Linked DNA regions of Solanum lycopersicum. The protein of the gene in region 2 binds, or shares a complex with, the protein of the main gene of each other region. Links are inferred from orthologs where the notes say so. Each region holds a gene or a part of one and is shown on either strand. Other genes may lie near its edges.

Evidence for each region. The genes of interacting proteins can lie anywhere in the genome.
Region 1: PWWP domain-containing protein 1 (region 2) and PWWP domain-containing protein 6 share a complex: the UniProt entries of both Arabidopsis thaliana proteins name them as parts of the PRC2 (polycomb repressive complex 2) complex. The link is inferred for Solanum lycopersicum from reciprocal best matches to the Arabidopsis thaliana genes AT5G27650 and AT5G40340.

The regions. Positions count from the first base shown.
Region 1 is NC_090801.1:65,660,713-65,667,350, reverse strand, and holds PWWP domain-containing protein 6, read right to left. Parts: upstream 4,459-6,638; 5' UTR 4,309-4,458; intron 4,099-4,308; 5' UTR 4,045-4,098; coding exon 1,537-4,044; 3' UTR 1,345-1,536; downstream 1-1,344. UniProt on the Arabidopsis thaliana protein: Together with PDP1, PDP2 and PDP6, interacts with MSI4/FVE and MSI5 to suppress FLC, MAF4 and MAF5 expression by regulating the function of the PRC2 complex and modulating H3K27me3 level, thereby promoting flowering.
Region 2 is NC_090800.1:85,522,305-85,529,145, reverse strand, and holds the start of PWWP domain-containing protein 1, read right to left. Parts: upstream 4,431-6,841; 5' UTR 4,207-4,430; coding exon 3,153-4,206; intron 1-3,152. UniProt on the Arabidopsis thaliana protein: Together with PDP2, PDP3 and PDP6, interacts with MSI4/FVE and MSI5 to suppress FLC, MAF4 and MAF5 expression by regulating the function of the PRC2 complex and modulating H3K27me3 level, thereby promoting flowering.

The DNA.
Region 1 (6,638 bases), on a different chromosome or scaffold from region 2:
CCACACTAAGATGTGGCAAAAGGGCCTCCTTTTTTTCACCTAATTCCACAAAAGAGGCCCAAACTCGTAATTGACAACATTAAAATGTGGAATAGATATCATATAGCAACATTAATCTCTACAGAATTTGCAATCAGTATAATTAAAAATTGTAAATCTATTGGCAATGGATTGCACCTAGCTACCAACCCAATCAATTAATATAATAACAAATCTTGACTCATAGTAACATAGCAGACGTGTGGCCCTCTTACATTATTAGTGCTAAAATTGTTTTTTTATTTAAACACGGAGAGACAAGAGAATCCTAATATCAAATTGTGTTTTTATCAGGATAAAGTTTGTTTTTATTTTTATTTTATTTTCCAGATCATTCTTCTTTTCTTTGCATTTTCATGTTTGTTCTTGATATATAATGTCATTGTAAGGACAATCCAATAATTAATCCAAAATAGTAAATGCCATGAAATTGAATAAGTAAGCGTTCTAATCATTTTGGTTCTACTCAACTTTCCTTGATCCCTTGTAAACAATTGTAAAAAAATAAATAATCCAAAAAACATAGTTAATTCGAAATGGTACATTACAACAACAATTATAGTTCTGGAACTTCAATAACGGAAATAATAGTAGGGATAAATATTCTTCAAACATGTTTTGAAACCTACTACAATTCATTTTCTGCAAATCCTGAAATATTCTTTTCTAAAATGTCAGAATTTTAACTGGGTTGATATCCAAATCTAGAGTTACATAGCTAGTTCACAGCCTTATAGCTCCAATCAATGTTTGGCAAAGATTATGAGCCATTATTATGCCAAAGAATGAACTCTTGACTCCCTCTAATTGTAATTGATGTATTCGTAACTGCTTAATGCTTGATGCTGGACAATACCTTTCTTCACTATCTGTGCTTTGATATTATGGTTAGCAGAACTTCACGACTGTTTTGGGCTTATCACAGACATTCATTGGCACCCGGAAGGTACATTCTTGATAATTCATTAAAAGAAATATATAGAATGCCTTTGATATAGACACTAAACTTCTGCAGTCACGTGACAAATACAAACTTCACAAGGCTATTGTATCCATAAACAAGCTCATATCAGTATGATATTAACTCTGAATGTGCAAATAATAGACTCAGAAAACCGACTGTATCCCTGCATTCAACAAGCAATTCAAGCTACCATCTCTACAAGTGCAGTTCAGGATCTTTTGACAACGATACATTGACAAGAATATTCATAAATGCAAAACACAAACGCATTTTTACTTCCCTTTTAGTTTTGGTTGGTCAGGGGATGGCTGCAGATTCAGCTAACTCTTAACAAAAACTAATCAAAGTAATTGCAACTTTATAGTAACTTGAGCAAATCAATTGTACAGAGCTAGCATCCTATGCTCCTACTTCATACACGAACCTAATACAAGTGCATTCAGTATCCTAATCAACATAAGCTGGACAATATACTAACACTATCAACAAAAGGAGAACACATCAAGTTGAAGCAACCAGCTTCAGGAGATCTCCTATGGGTTTGTTGAAGTCACTGCACTTACCTTCTCCACCAAGCCTTTTATCTCATTCTCCAACTCTGATTTCTCAGCGCTTGTAATCTTACCCTTGCACTTATCCAATATTGATGCCATCCCTTTCAGCTTCTGCTTGATTAGTTGTACCTGTGACTTCCCCTTACGAGCTTTTAGCGAGGATAGTGGACTCTCAGATTTAGAGGAATAGCTGAGCGTAAAGTTCACATTAGCAGCACCAAAAGGACTTTGCCTTACCGATTCTTTAAAGGCCTGTGCAGCATCTGCACCATGCCTGTAGACAATTCGAACAGAGTTCGAATCACGAAGCACTTCTGTTTCCTCTTCATTCAGCTCTCCAAACTTGTTATATATTCGAATGATTTCATCTTCTGGTGGCAAAGAAAAACCAGTCAAAAATGCCACCAACAGAATCACAGATGAAGCTTCTCTACCATCATCCTCATCTTCTTTTCCCTGACTAGAAGGACCATAGTCTTTTTTGAGTTTGGTAACTTCTGATTTTGCATAATTTGTCTTCCTCTTCTTTGAAGGAATGGAGTCTGGTGATTCAGTATCACTCTGGGAAATTAGATTTCCTGATCCCGCGGATTTTCTCTTCTTTCCTGTTTCCATTTGGTGATACTGCTTGTAGTTTGATCCATCATAATATAGCGAGTTTCTGAAAGTGGAAATGAAACCTCTGGCCTTCTCAAGAGATCCATTCCTCAACAGAAGAGGGTTTAGAGCAGTAGACTGAACCTCGGACAAAACTTCATCCACAGATGAATTGATAGCCACGGTATCAAAAGTCCTAGAGCTTCGCTTATTGATCCCAGAACTCTTGTCAACGTCATCCTTGAAGGCCTCTTTCCCATTCGAATCAGGAGAAGACAAAAGAAGACGTGCAGCCTTTGTCATCCTCTCACCAATCTTGGAATTATCAGAAAATTTCTGTGATTCTATTGCCAGTTCTCTCTTAAAGCTTGATTTTCCTGCATTCCACTTGGGGCTTGTATAAGGAGGTGACAAATACTTGCTCTTCTTTCTTTCCCTTGATAAAGGGCCCGCATTGTCTTGCTGGTTGCCAACTTCATCACTCTCAGGAATTGAAACACTAAGTTTCTTTGTTTTCACCAAGTCACTGTCACCAGACTTCTTGTTGACCCTCTTACCAATTTTTTCATCAACACTCATCGAGCTGCCAGTTTGACCTTTAGCTTTCTCACCAGACTTCTTCCTTTTCTTCTCGGATGTTTCTACAGACGAAGGTGTAGAATCGTCTTCAGTTGTCTTCTTACCTTTGGGCTTGGCGTTCTCTCCCATAAGTTCAGCCACACTTTTCTGCTTCCTCTTCTGATAAATCTTGTCGCAGGCAGTCATAGGAAACTTTGAAGATCCAGAATTAGGAATTTCTTCTGATGGACCCTGAATGGGAACCTCAATGGGTATGCTGAAGTCATTTGCATCAATGACTTGATCTTCCTTCTTGTCCTCGAGGCCTTCAACTAGAAGGGGTTCACAATATGAAGCCAAAGGGTGTCCATACTTAGCACGATAAAAAGCAGATAGCCAACTATTCAAGACAGCAAACTCAAGTATATTGGAATGAGAATTGGTTAGTGCATTACGTTTTAGACCTTTAAGTCTTTCCGCAGGTTCAAACTGAGAAAGTAAAAGACTGACAGTTTCTGACACAGGCACTTGAACACCCTTTTTGATTCCAGCATTCACTGCCAATGGCCAACTAAGTCCAGTAAGACTCTCTTCAGAGACACATTGGCAGGTCATTTGAAACTCCACAAGCACACCAATTTCATCCAAGGTTTTTTCAACAGCATATAAGAAACTCTTGGAAGTGCTCTGCTTTGACATTTTTTCAAAGTTGTCAACAAAAGGCACCAATTGCGAAGGGGGGCACCAAGAAAATGACCCATCTCCAAAGTATGCCACTAGCAATCGACCTGTTTGATTATACTTCATAGCAAAGTCAGAGGCAGTGGAAGCATCGTAAACACGCCCTGGCCACCACGGATGACTCTTAATCTTGCCCCACACAAAGTCACCAACTGCATAAACATGTTTTACACTAGTTGTATCATCCCCAGAGTTATCCTCAGCAGTTTCTCCGTCAACAGCATCAATCATCTCATCATCCGAACCACCAGCTACATTCTCCTCTCCGTTCATTTCCTCAACCAAATGTCCAGACCCTTGATCTGCTTCAGCCCCTTCACTCGCAAGCTCTCCCCCACTCACATTATCCAGTGAACCATGAACTTCCACCACATCACCACCAGCGTCACTCCCCACTTCCAGGGTCTCCTCTGTAGCAACAACTGGCTCGCTAATAGCACCAGTATCCACATTTCCATTATCATCAGAAACCCTAGGCACCTCATCAGACAACCCAGTTACAGAATCAGCCATTAGGGTTTCAGAGTCCAATGCTTCAGCTGACAACCCATCTAGGTTTTCGCTCTTCTCTGTTTTTTCTTCACTCGACATACCCAAATAAAACGTTACAAAACACAATCACTTCAGTTCTATACCGGTTCAAATCTGCAACAAGAAAAAAAAAACACAACACCCCAGCTCAGAAAAATCCCCCCCCCCCAAAAAAAAACATAATCAGAAACACAGACCACAAATTCTCAACCTTTCTATGAACATAGGGTTTGGGGTTCCATTTCTAGACATTAAAAATCACACATACAAAAACTATAACAGATAAATAAAATGAATAAACATAAACAGAGGAAAGGAACAAACCAGAATCGACCAGAGCTTGCAAACTTCTGGAGGAATCGCCTTGCCTCTTCTGTTAGTTGAGAGAGAGAGAGAGAGAGAAGAGTAAATGAGCTTGTAGAAACCGCAAGGAGTTTTGGCTTTTGAGTTTTGGACAAAAATATATTTTCGTACAGTTGGCTTATTTTGCGTTTCTATCAGTCAAAACAGAGCTTGGACGGTTGAGATTAAAGATGCCTTGAAAACGCTCTGAAATGAAATAAAACAAAGAGTTGGACGGTCGAGATGTAATGTAAGAAATGAAAGGTTTCCAACGATGTAGGCGGTAAATTTTGGGGATCTTCCTTGAAATTTGAATCATCCATCATTTACCGCTCTTATTTTTTGGGTTCTATAGGAAAATGGATTGTGTTTACGACGAATTATATTGTGACACGTGGTAAAATTAAAATAAAAAAAAATACTTGTTATAATGTGTCTTTGTGGAATTGGAATGGTGATACGTGATAAAATTAAGATTGAGAAAATACTTGTTATAATTTGTGCCTTTGTGGAATTGGGAAGGATCATTCGTTGAGGCGATTTAATGTTTATTTGTGATTGGAGAACTAATGGGACCTTTTTCGGGAGAGCCCACCTTAAAATTGTACATGCTTATGACATCTTTTGCGAAGATCAACCATTAATCTTGAGTCTTATGCTGACCTATCCCAATCAGCTTCAAGTGAAGTGTCGAAACATAGGCACTTGCTACTAGTTAGTTTTTTTGTGTTAATCAATAGTCTTTTAACGTTAAAAGAAGTTTGACTTTTGGTGATGTACATAAAAAAAATATTTTAGAAGGCATCAAAGAACTTGAGAAATCTACGAGTCTTTTAGTCTTCTAAGCTTAGAATATTCACGAAAAAAAAAGCTTTCGACCTTCTCCTTAGTTGTATTTATCTGTTTTACTTCATGATATATATTCTTGTATTAACCCTATGCCTTGGTCTTTTAGCACATTTTTTGGTTTTCCATTATCTCGTTGCTGAATTCTGAACCTTCTTGTATAGCTCTATTCGAAGAGTAGTATCAATGACTACTTTTTCTCCTAAAAACCAAATATTTGAAACAATTTAATATACAACATTTATAAATTTCAAGAATTTTTTAAAATACAGTAGAAGAAGAATACACTAAACTAGTCTGGTAATATAACCAAGTTATAGCTACAAAGTCATTTAAAAACTAAACCCTATATACACAATGAAAATTCCGTACAAATATTTTGCAAGAAATTGAGAAGTAGAATTCCAAAAATTTCAAGAATTTAAAAATCATCCGAAGAAAAGTATAACTCACAAAAATCTTAAAAACCTCATTATTCAAATATTATTTTTCACTTTGAAAATAAAAATTACTTTTTTATCATATACTCACAATTTTTACGACCAAATATTTCTGAAATTCGTCCCTTTTTTTCGATGATCTCATAAATACAAGAAAGTACATCCTAATTGTGTTGCCAAACATGTTACTAACTTAGTTCTGAAAACAGGCTTCCTACTACAGATAGGTTGTCTAAATGGAGATTGTATTCACATACAATCATTCTATGTGAATACAATGTATAAATTCTGTCAAACACACTCGAAAAATAGAGAACATCTTTATCTTCTGTAATTTTGACTTGGATCAATAGACCAAGTTTCATTGCTAACACATGTTTGCAGCACTTAGATTGAGCAATCAACAACTCCAAAGGTAAGTCTCAAAGTGCTTAACTAAACAGAATATTATATGCTAAATGCATTCATGCTCTGTGGATGGAGAGAAACCAGACAACATTTTAAGCCCACTGTGATTATATAGCCAAAGAAGTAGCATTTATGGAGGCTGATGCATTCTCCAACAAATTCATTCAACATTGACTATTTGCCCTCTGTTGAAGGTGTTCTAAAAATCTGTGCTATCGTCTATCGAGTACATAGCTCAAACAAATGAATGAATTGGGTCAAACTTATGAAAACCAAAAAAATAAAATTGTACCAGTTATAAGTTTCATCTGCTAGGCTTCACTCTAGATTTTCATGTAAGATGGCACAGGCATGGCTTAGGTCAATTTTGGGACAAGAGATTTTTCAACTATTATTACAACTCATACAAACTTGAGGAAATAGACACCGGTGATATAAGTTACGAGCCTAGTGTTACTTTGAGCAAACTTGCGCGCACATTGACTATTTCATCGAGTACAATTTACGAGGATGAGAAGAAATTGAAACACACAATAACAATTACAAAATTATGCAGAATCATAAATATTGATTTTAGAAAATTGGGTACAACTATCTAATAGCTGAATGCTCTTACAA
Region 2 (6,841 bases):
TAAACTAAGTTGCTCAAACTTGAGGGCGTATGTGTAATAAATATGTGGATCCAGAAACTTGATCATATGTAATGCATATTTAAAGATTCAAGGATACATATCGAGGTACGAGTGCGGGTGAGGGAATACGTCTAAAAGAATCATATATCTACAAGTGTATCTCATTTTTTTGGTTTGCTGCGAGCAACAAAGCTACTGCACGTGGTTTAAGGGGACATGATAAAGTTATTTAGTTCACCACACATTAAATAGTTATGTTAAGTTTTAGCCCATAAATATCCTTACAGCCCTTCTGACGGCTAATTTTTTATTACAATATCTTTAAACGATAAAAAGCTTATGCCTAAATCACCCTAGCTCTAGATATGATTTCAAAAATCACTATTTTTGTCTTTATTTCACTATCGAGTTTGGCCAAAGTACGCAAAATTGGTTGACCACATCCAATACAGATCCCACACTCACGTCATGTCGACATAGGTGTGACATAAGTTCAAAAAAAAGGAAGGAAAAGACGATGCTTGTGATTTTAGGGTTTTATCACCCCTTACCTTTTCTGAGTCAACTGGGTTCTCCATCCGTCTTTAGACTTCAGTTGCAAAAGGTAAGTTTGTTTTGGTAATTAGGAACTAGCACATTCTTTTCTAGCTTGTTTTGTCTTTCTTTTTACTTTAAGCAATTTAGTAATGCTTGTCTAAAATTTTGACTCCTTCAAGTTCTTTGAATTGAAATATTTGCTAATATATTGTTGTTATTGAGCTTTCGATTATTTATATAGACAATTACATATTTAATTTTCAGGATATATTGGTAAATCAATTCAAAAAGGCAAGCAATTTACCTTAATGAGGCAGGTCCTTGACGTCTTACCTTCCAAAATACTAACTTGGATGATAAAGATGACCCAACACATTAATTCTAATAGCTAGTAATTTGAGAGAGATAACATAAAGAAGTTTAGGAGCTATTTGTGGGGAAAATCTGAAGATAGGAAAAAGGTTGCACTGGCTTTATGGGATAAGGTGTGTCATCTTAAAAGAAGAGGTGGATTGAATATAAAAGAAAGTCGTGCTTGGAATGTGGCTTCGGTGGGCTAATTGATTTGGCAAACCATAGAGAACAAGGAAGCTTTGTGAGTTAAATGGGTACATGGTATATCTAAAGGATGAAAGTTCTTTATGGAATCACAAGGTACCTATAGATTGTAGTTGGTAGTGGAGGAAAGTTAATGCAATTAAGTACCAAATGCAGGAATGGCACTGCAAGAACAGATAAAAATCAACTCAAAGTGAGAAATATTCTATCACAAGAAGCTATTTGGAATTATTAGGACATAGGCCACACATGAAAATTGTTGAATTGGTTTGGCCTGTTGTAGCTCCACCTAAGCACAAATTCATAGTGTGGTTTACCGTGCAAGGTCGACTAATCACTCAGGAGAGAAAATTGAGATTACATACATATTCTAGTTGAAGATAGGGATTACTGCCTCTGTGATGAACAGACTATGGAGACCATAGTGCATTTATTTGAATCAGTTGGACTAAAATAGTGGCAAGAATTGATGCAGTGGACCGGGATTACACTGATAAGTAATGGAATCAAGCAGGTATAGAGGGCATAAAGTTGAAGCATTGGAAGCAGTTTCAAAAGGAAATCATTGCAGTTGTAAGTGGGGCGATACCTTATCATATGTGGAGAGCTAGAAAATGGAAAAAATTTAATATAAGTATGCAGAGAGAGGAGGTAGTGACACAATTTAAGGAGTTGATAATGTTGATAGAGACATTATATATCCTAAGTTAATCAAAGAAGGCAACAAAATGTAGTTTTTTCATTCAACATTTACAAATGTAATTAGTTGTTTTAGTAGGAGGCCTAAGTCGTGTTAGTAGGAATGGAAGCTTATTTTGTAATTGGTTTTTGATGGAATTGGTTTTTGTGTGATGGGGGATAGAGTTATACATTTAGGGCCGTTTGATACAGTGTATAAAAAGAGCCCTAAAAATAAGGTGTATTGCTAATACTACATTAGTTATACTTATACTGAGATTATTTCTTATGCACTTCTAAATCTGTTGTAGTAGCATCACATAATTTCCACACACAAAAAAATATGTTCACAAAAACACCCACCATTGTATAATATTGTCGTAAGGGTGTGGAAATTCTTTGAAGGACAATGTTATCTTTAAACATGCTAATGAATGCATCAAAAATCATTACATTTCTATAACCATGTTTGGTATTTATTAATTATATATAGCATAACTAATACTTACATTAGTTATACATAGATTGAAAAAATGTACCAAACATGGTATTAATAATACACAAAGTTAATGATCTACTATTTTTCCAACACATCCTGCCAGACAACCCCTTACACATAAAGTAAAAACCCATACTACAACCATTAGTTATTTATATAGTTGAAGATATCCAACCAACTGAATTCGCCTTTAGGCTCTAATTCACGTGTCCCACTATAACAATAGCGGGAGCTAACAACATTAATGTTGAGCATAACCTATTATGCAGCCAGTTATAGCTTTAATCGCCGTAAACTTCTATAAGACATTATTATGCACTAATGTGCAACTCATCTCATGTTTTCTTTCCTATCTTCCAATTCCATTAGATTAAGGGCGGTTCACCCTTATATTAACATAACCAAAAGTGAAATTTCATGCTTAAGGGGGACATTGGTACATTGACCAACTTATCATTTGAACACCCCACAATATTTTGGGGGTGGCTAGAAAAGTAGATTGGATATATAAAAGGGAAAGTTCTTTACACTTTCCCTCGCCTAATATCCTATTAACACTCAATCTTCACCAAATTAGTAATGTGCCAATGTTGATGGCCTTGAGCGGCACTGCAACATGACATCAATACCAATACCTAGTTACACAATCCAACAAAGTAGTTTCTATCCAAATAACTTGAAACAAACAAGTTAAAACATTGCAATTCCTTCAAATTTAGTGTTCTAGGTGTATCATCTTCTAGGTGTATCATCCTCAATAATGAGCTATATTATACTCCAAAATTAAGTACACACTAACAGGGCAAAAGATTTGCAAGGTTATTTCTTGGGGTTTTGATAGGAGAGCATTGAATAAAACAAAGGGAGTGAAACATAATACCTCTTGAAGAGGGTTGTCTAAATGGTTGAGCCACTTCTTGTGCTTGTTTAGAATAAACAACACCAAAAGCTTCTGCATAGGTAGGATCATCTTCCTCAAAAACAGCCTTTCTATAAGCCAACGCGGTTGCCTTCTTCTTAACAAGGTTAAGATCCGCATGCACTTTTCTCCTAGGCTTCAATGCCAACTTATTCACATAACCCCTAGTTTCTTTGGGTTTAAAGCTTTCCCTAGCCTTTTTAATCTGACTAGCTGAGTAAGTACAATTCCTCTCAAGATCACTAAAATCAACAGCAAAGAACCCATTAATTGACACAGCACGAAGTCTATATGTCTTCCTACAATAACAAACCAAACCTAAAGCACTCCTACGGCTCACTTCATCGACCCCTTCCTCCACTGCTTTTATAAAGTTCTTCACATTAGTTTGCATAGACTTCTCCGCATAAGTTGGTTCAAAATGTACAAGCTCATCTGGATCAAACCATCCATAGCTGCTATCACCATAAAAAGCAACCAAAATGTGACCCTCCCTTTTACTCCTTCGCACAGAAGGAGTAGCGAACGCTTCGCTGAAAATGTGACCTGGCCACCAAGGGTGTGACTTCACCTTTCCCCACACCATATCACCCATTTCAAACCCATAACCAACTGACCAACATTTCACATTTCCTGCAAATTCATCAAACTTAGAGAGCATTAAATCATACTCAGAAACATAAGGCTCCAATTTTCCCTTCCTCGCATCAGTTTTACTAGAAACCAATGCTGTCTTTCCTTTCTGCTCCAACTTCATTCGACCTGACTTCACCGAACTACCACCTTCTTCGTCTTTTATTTCGTTAACCCTAGTTTGATTTCCCTCAGTTTCCGATTCCAAAACCCTAGAATCCTCCGTTTGGGAATTCGAAACCCTAGAATCCTTTCCGTCCATAGAAACCCTCGCTTGTTCAGAATCATCTGAGGGGTTCCTACTGGAAACCCTAACTTGCGTCTCTTCTACTGAATCGTTACTTCGATTTGCTTCGAATCTGTTGCTCATCACAGAAATCATCTCCTGGAGCTAAAACTCCGTTTCCATACGACTTCAAAATGAACCTTCAGGACGAAGAACACCGATGAATTCCCCAGGAAAATGCAGCAAATTCACGGATATAGTGAGAATTCTGGATACTACGGTACAAACCCTGCGAGAGAACAAAAGACAAATGTAGAATTGTAGATGCGTGAGAGAGAAATGGAGCTTATTGGTTCCGGCCCATGGGCTTAAACCTGTTTAAGGCCCTAAGTGGAAGACACCACGTGTTATTATGGCTCTTTTTTCACGCCACGTACAAATGATTTAAGTGTGCATAATTTTTTGGTTAAACGGAAAAAAAAGGGCAATTTTCACGTATAACAAATAAAAAATTTATATTTGTATGTTATAGCAAAGTTTGCATAATTGCGCTTCATATCAAACATAGAAATTATATAATTCGTTATACATATACAGTTGAAGCAAATTGTATAAAATGAATTGTATAAAACAAGAAAGAGAAAGACACTTGGACAGAGAACTGTATAAAAACGAAGTGTATAAAACGATTGTATTATTATAAGTGTATAGAACGATTATATACAATTTGAATTTGTATAAATGAGAAAGAGAGAAAGACAAAAGAGACTTGACAAGGAATATACAATTGAATCGAATCGTATAAAACGAGAAAGAGAGAAATTAGATACAATTTTGAAAATTGTATAAAACGAGAAAGAGAGAAAGACAAAAGAAATTGGGCAGGGGAGTATTTTTATTGTACAATTATAAGTATATAGGACGAAAATATATGTATTTGCATGTGTATATACAATTTTCTCATGTTTTATACAAACATAAACGCAATTTATACATTTCGCTTCTGTTTATATAAGTGAGAAAGGCGAGGGTAGCGAGCGAGATTTGGGATAGTGGCGAGCGAGATCTGAAAGAGGAGAGAGAGGGGAACAAAAACATATGTATTTATATAATTTTCTCTGCTTTATACAATTAGAAATAAATTTTATACACTTGTGTTTGCATAAAAAGTGAGGAAGCGAGCGACAGATTGGAGGAGAGTGGCGAGCGAGATATTTGGGAGAGAGGCGCCTGACAATTTTTTGTAAACGTTTGCTATGGAGCACAATTAAATCAAACCCTAGCTACTCTATTTATTTTAGGTTATTAGTTTGCTGTTATATACAATTTTCTTTAAAAAAAAATGATTAGTCCGAATTCTTAAGATTAAAGCCACATGTACAGGCCGACGTATACAGGTACCCTATTTTGACGAGTTATCTAATTATTTGGATATACTTTTTAATTTTTTTATACACATAAATTTATTTAAGATTGATTGTGTCTGAAGTTAGGCTAGAGTTTAAGTCTAATCTTTTTTTTTTGAATTTCAATCATATTGGACTGAAAATTCAATCATATATCATCTATTTAAATAACAATTATTTTATATTTATGTTCGATGAGTTGAAGTTCATACAATGTATATTTGAAGTGAATGTATATAAAATATTTTAAAAGATAAACACGAATAGATGATATCAAAATAAGTTACTTTGTAAAACTTTTATATATGATCATAATTCCAAGTATGCGTCTCTCAAATAGAGAAAACTATAAATAACACATATTTTAGAGTAAAAAATCTAGCAAATCAATGATTTAATGTTTGATAACACATCTTTTATTAGAGTAAAAAATCTAGCAAATCAATGATTTAATGTTTGATGCTCAAGTTTAGAAACATAGAGGGTGTTTAACAAAAAGAAAAGCATTGAGGGTGTGTTTGGTAGGGAAATATATATAAATTCATTTTTGTCAGAATATTTTGAGAATGTATTCATAAAGAATACAAGTTCATCATACAATAAAAAGAAATGACTTCTTATTAACATTAATTATCTCCTCTCCATCATCCAAATACAACATCCTGAGAAATAGACATAGCAAGTAATGTGCCACATCATACCGTAACAAGTTAAAAGTGAAAGCTAATGAAAATTCATGAACGTACCACCCAAAACTTCTGCCTTTTTTTAATTTTATTTTGCAAGATCTATAACGTGACTTGACAGAACTTAAATATGTGTTATTCTTTGTTATCTATTACTATCAATCTCAACAATTTTATCTAAATACGAAATTAGTTATTTATAGGATTAGTTTCCAATGCTTAAAAAGCGTTAAGCTGTTTAACTTGAACTGAAGTCTAACCAACAGTTTCTTTGAAGCTAGCAATTTTATCCCTTGCCCATAAACTTCTCTGTCGATATTCCAAGGATGACAGTTTAAACAAGAAGTAACTGAATGCAACCATAGGCTAAAAAAGTATTACAATTCATACTACATTCTATGAATAACTCTTAGCTTTTCCATGAGACAAATACAGTAAGACGAAATGCATTACAAAAATCCATAAATACCTGAAAACCCCATTCCTATACTTTGTTACCAATTAATTCTCTCTCTGAGGATAGTTCTGGTGAATACTCAGACCAAAAAATAAGTAGCACTAGTAGCCACTCATAATAATACAACAAAAGTCCCGCCTGCCTTGATACAAAAGACATTACTTACCTCCACCCTAAAAGAATTCTCGACTCCATATCTTATTCTATCTGTGAAAGAACCATTAACATAATAAAAATATTTT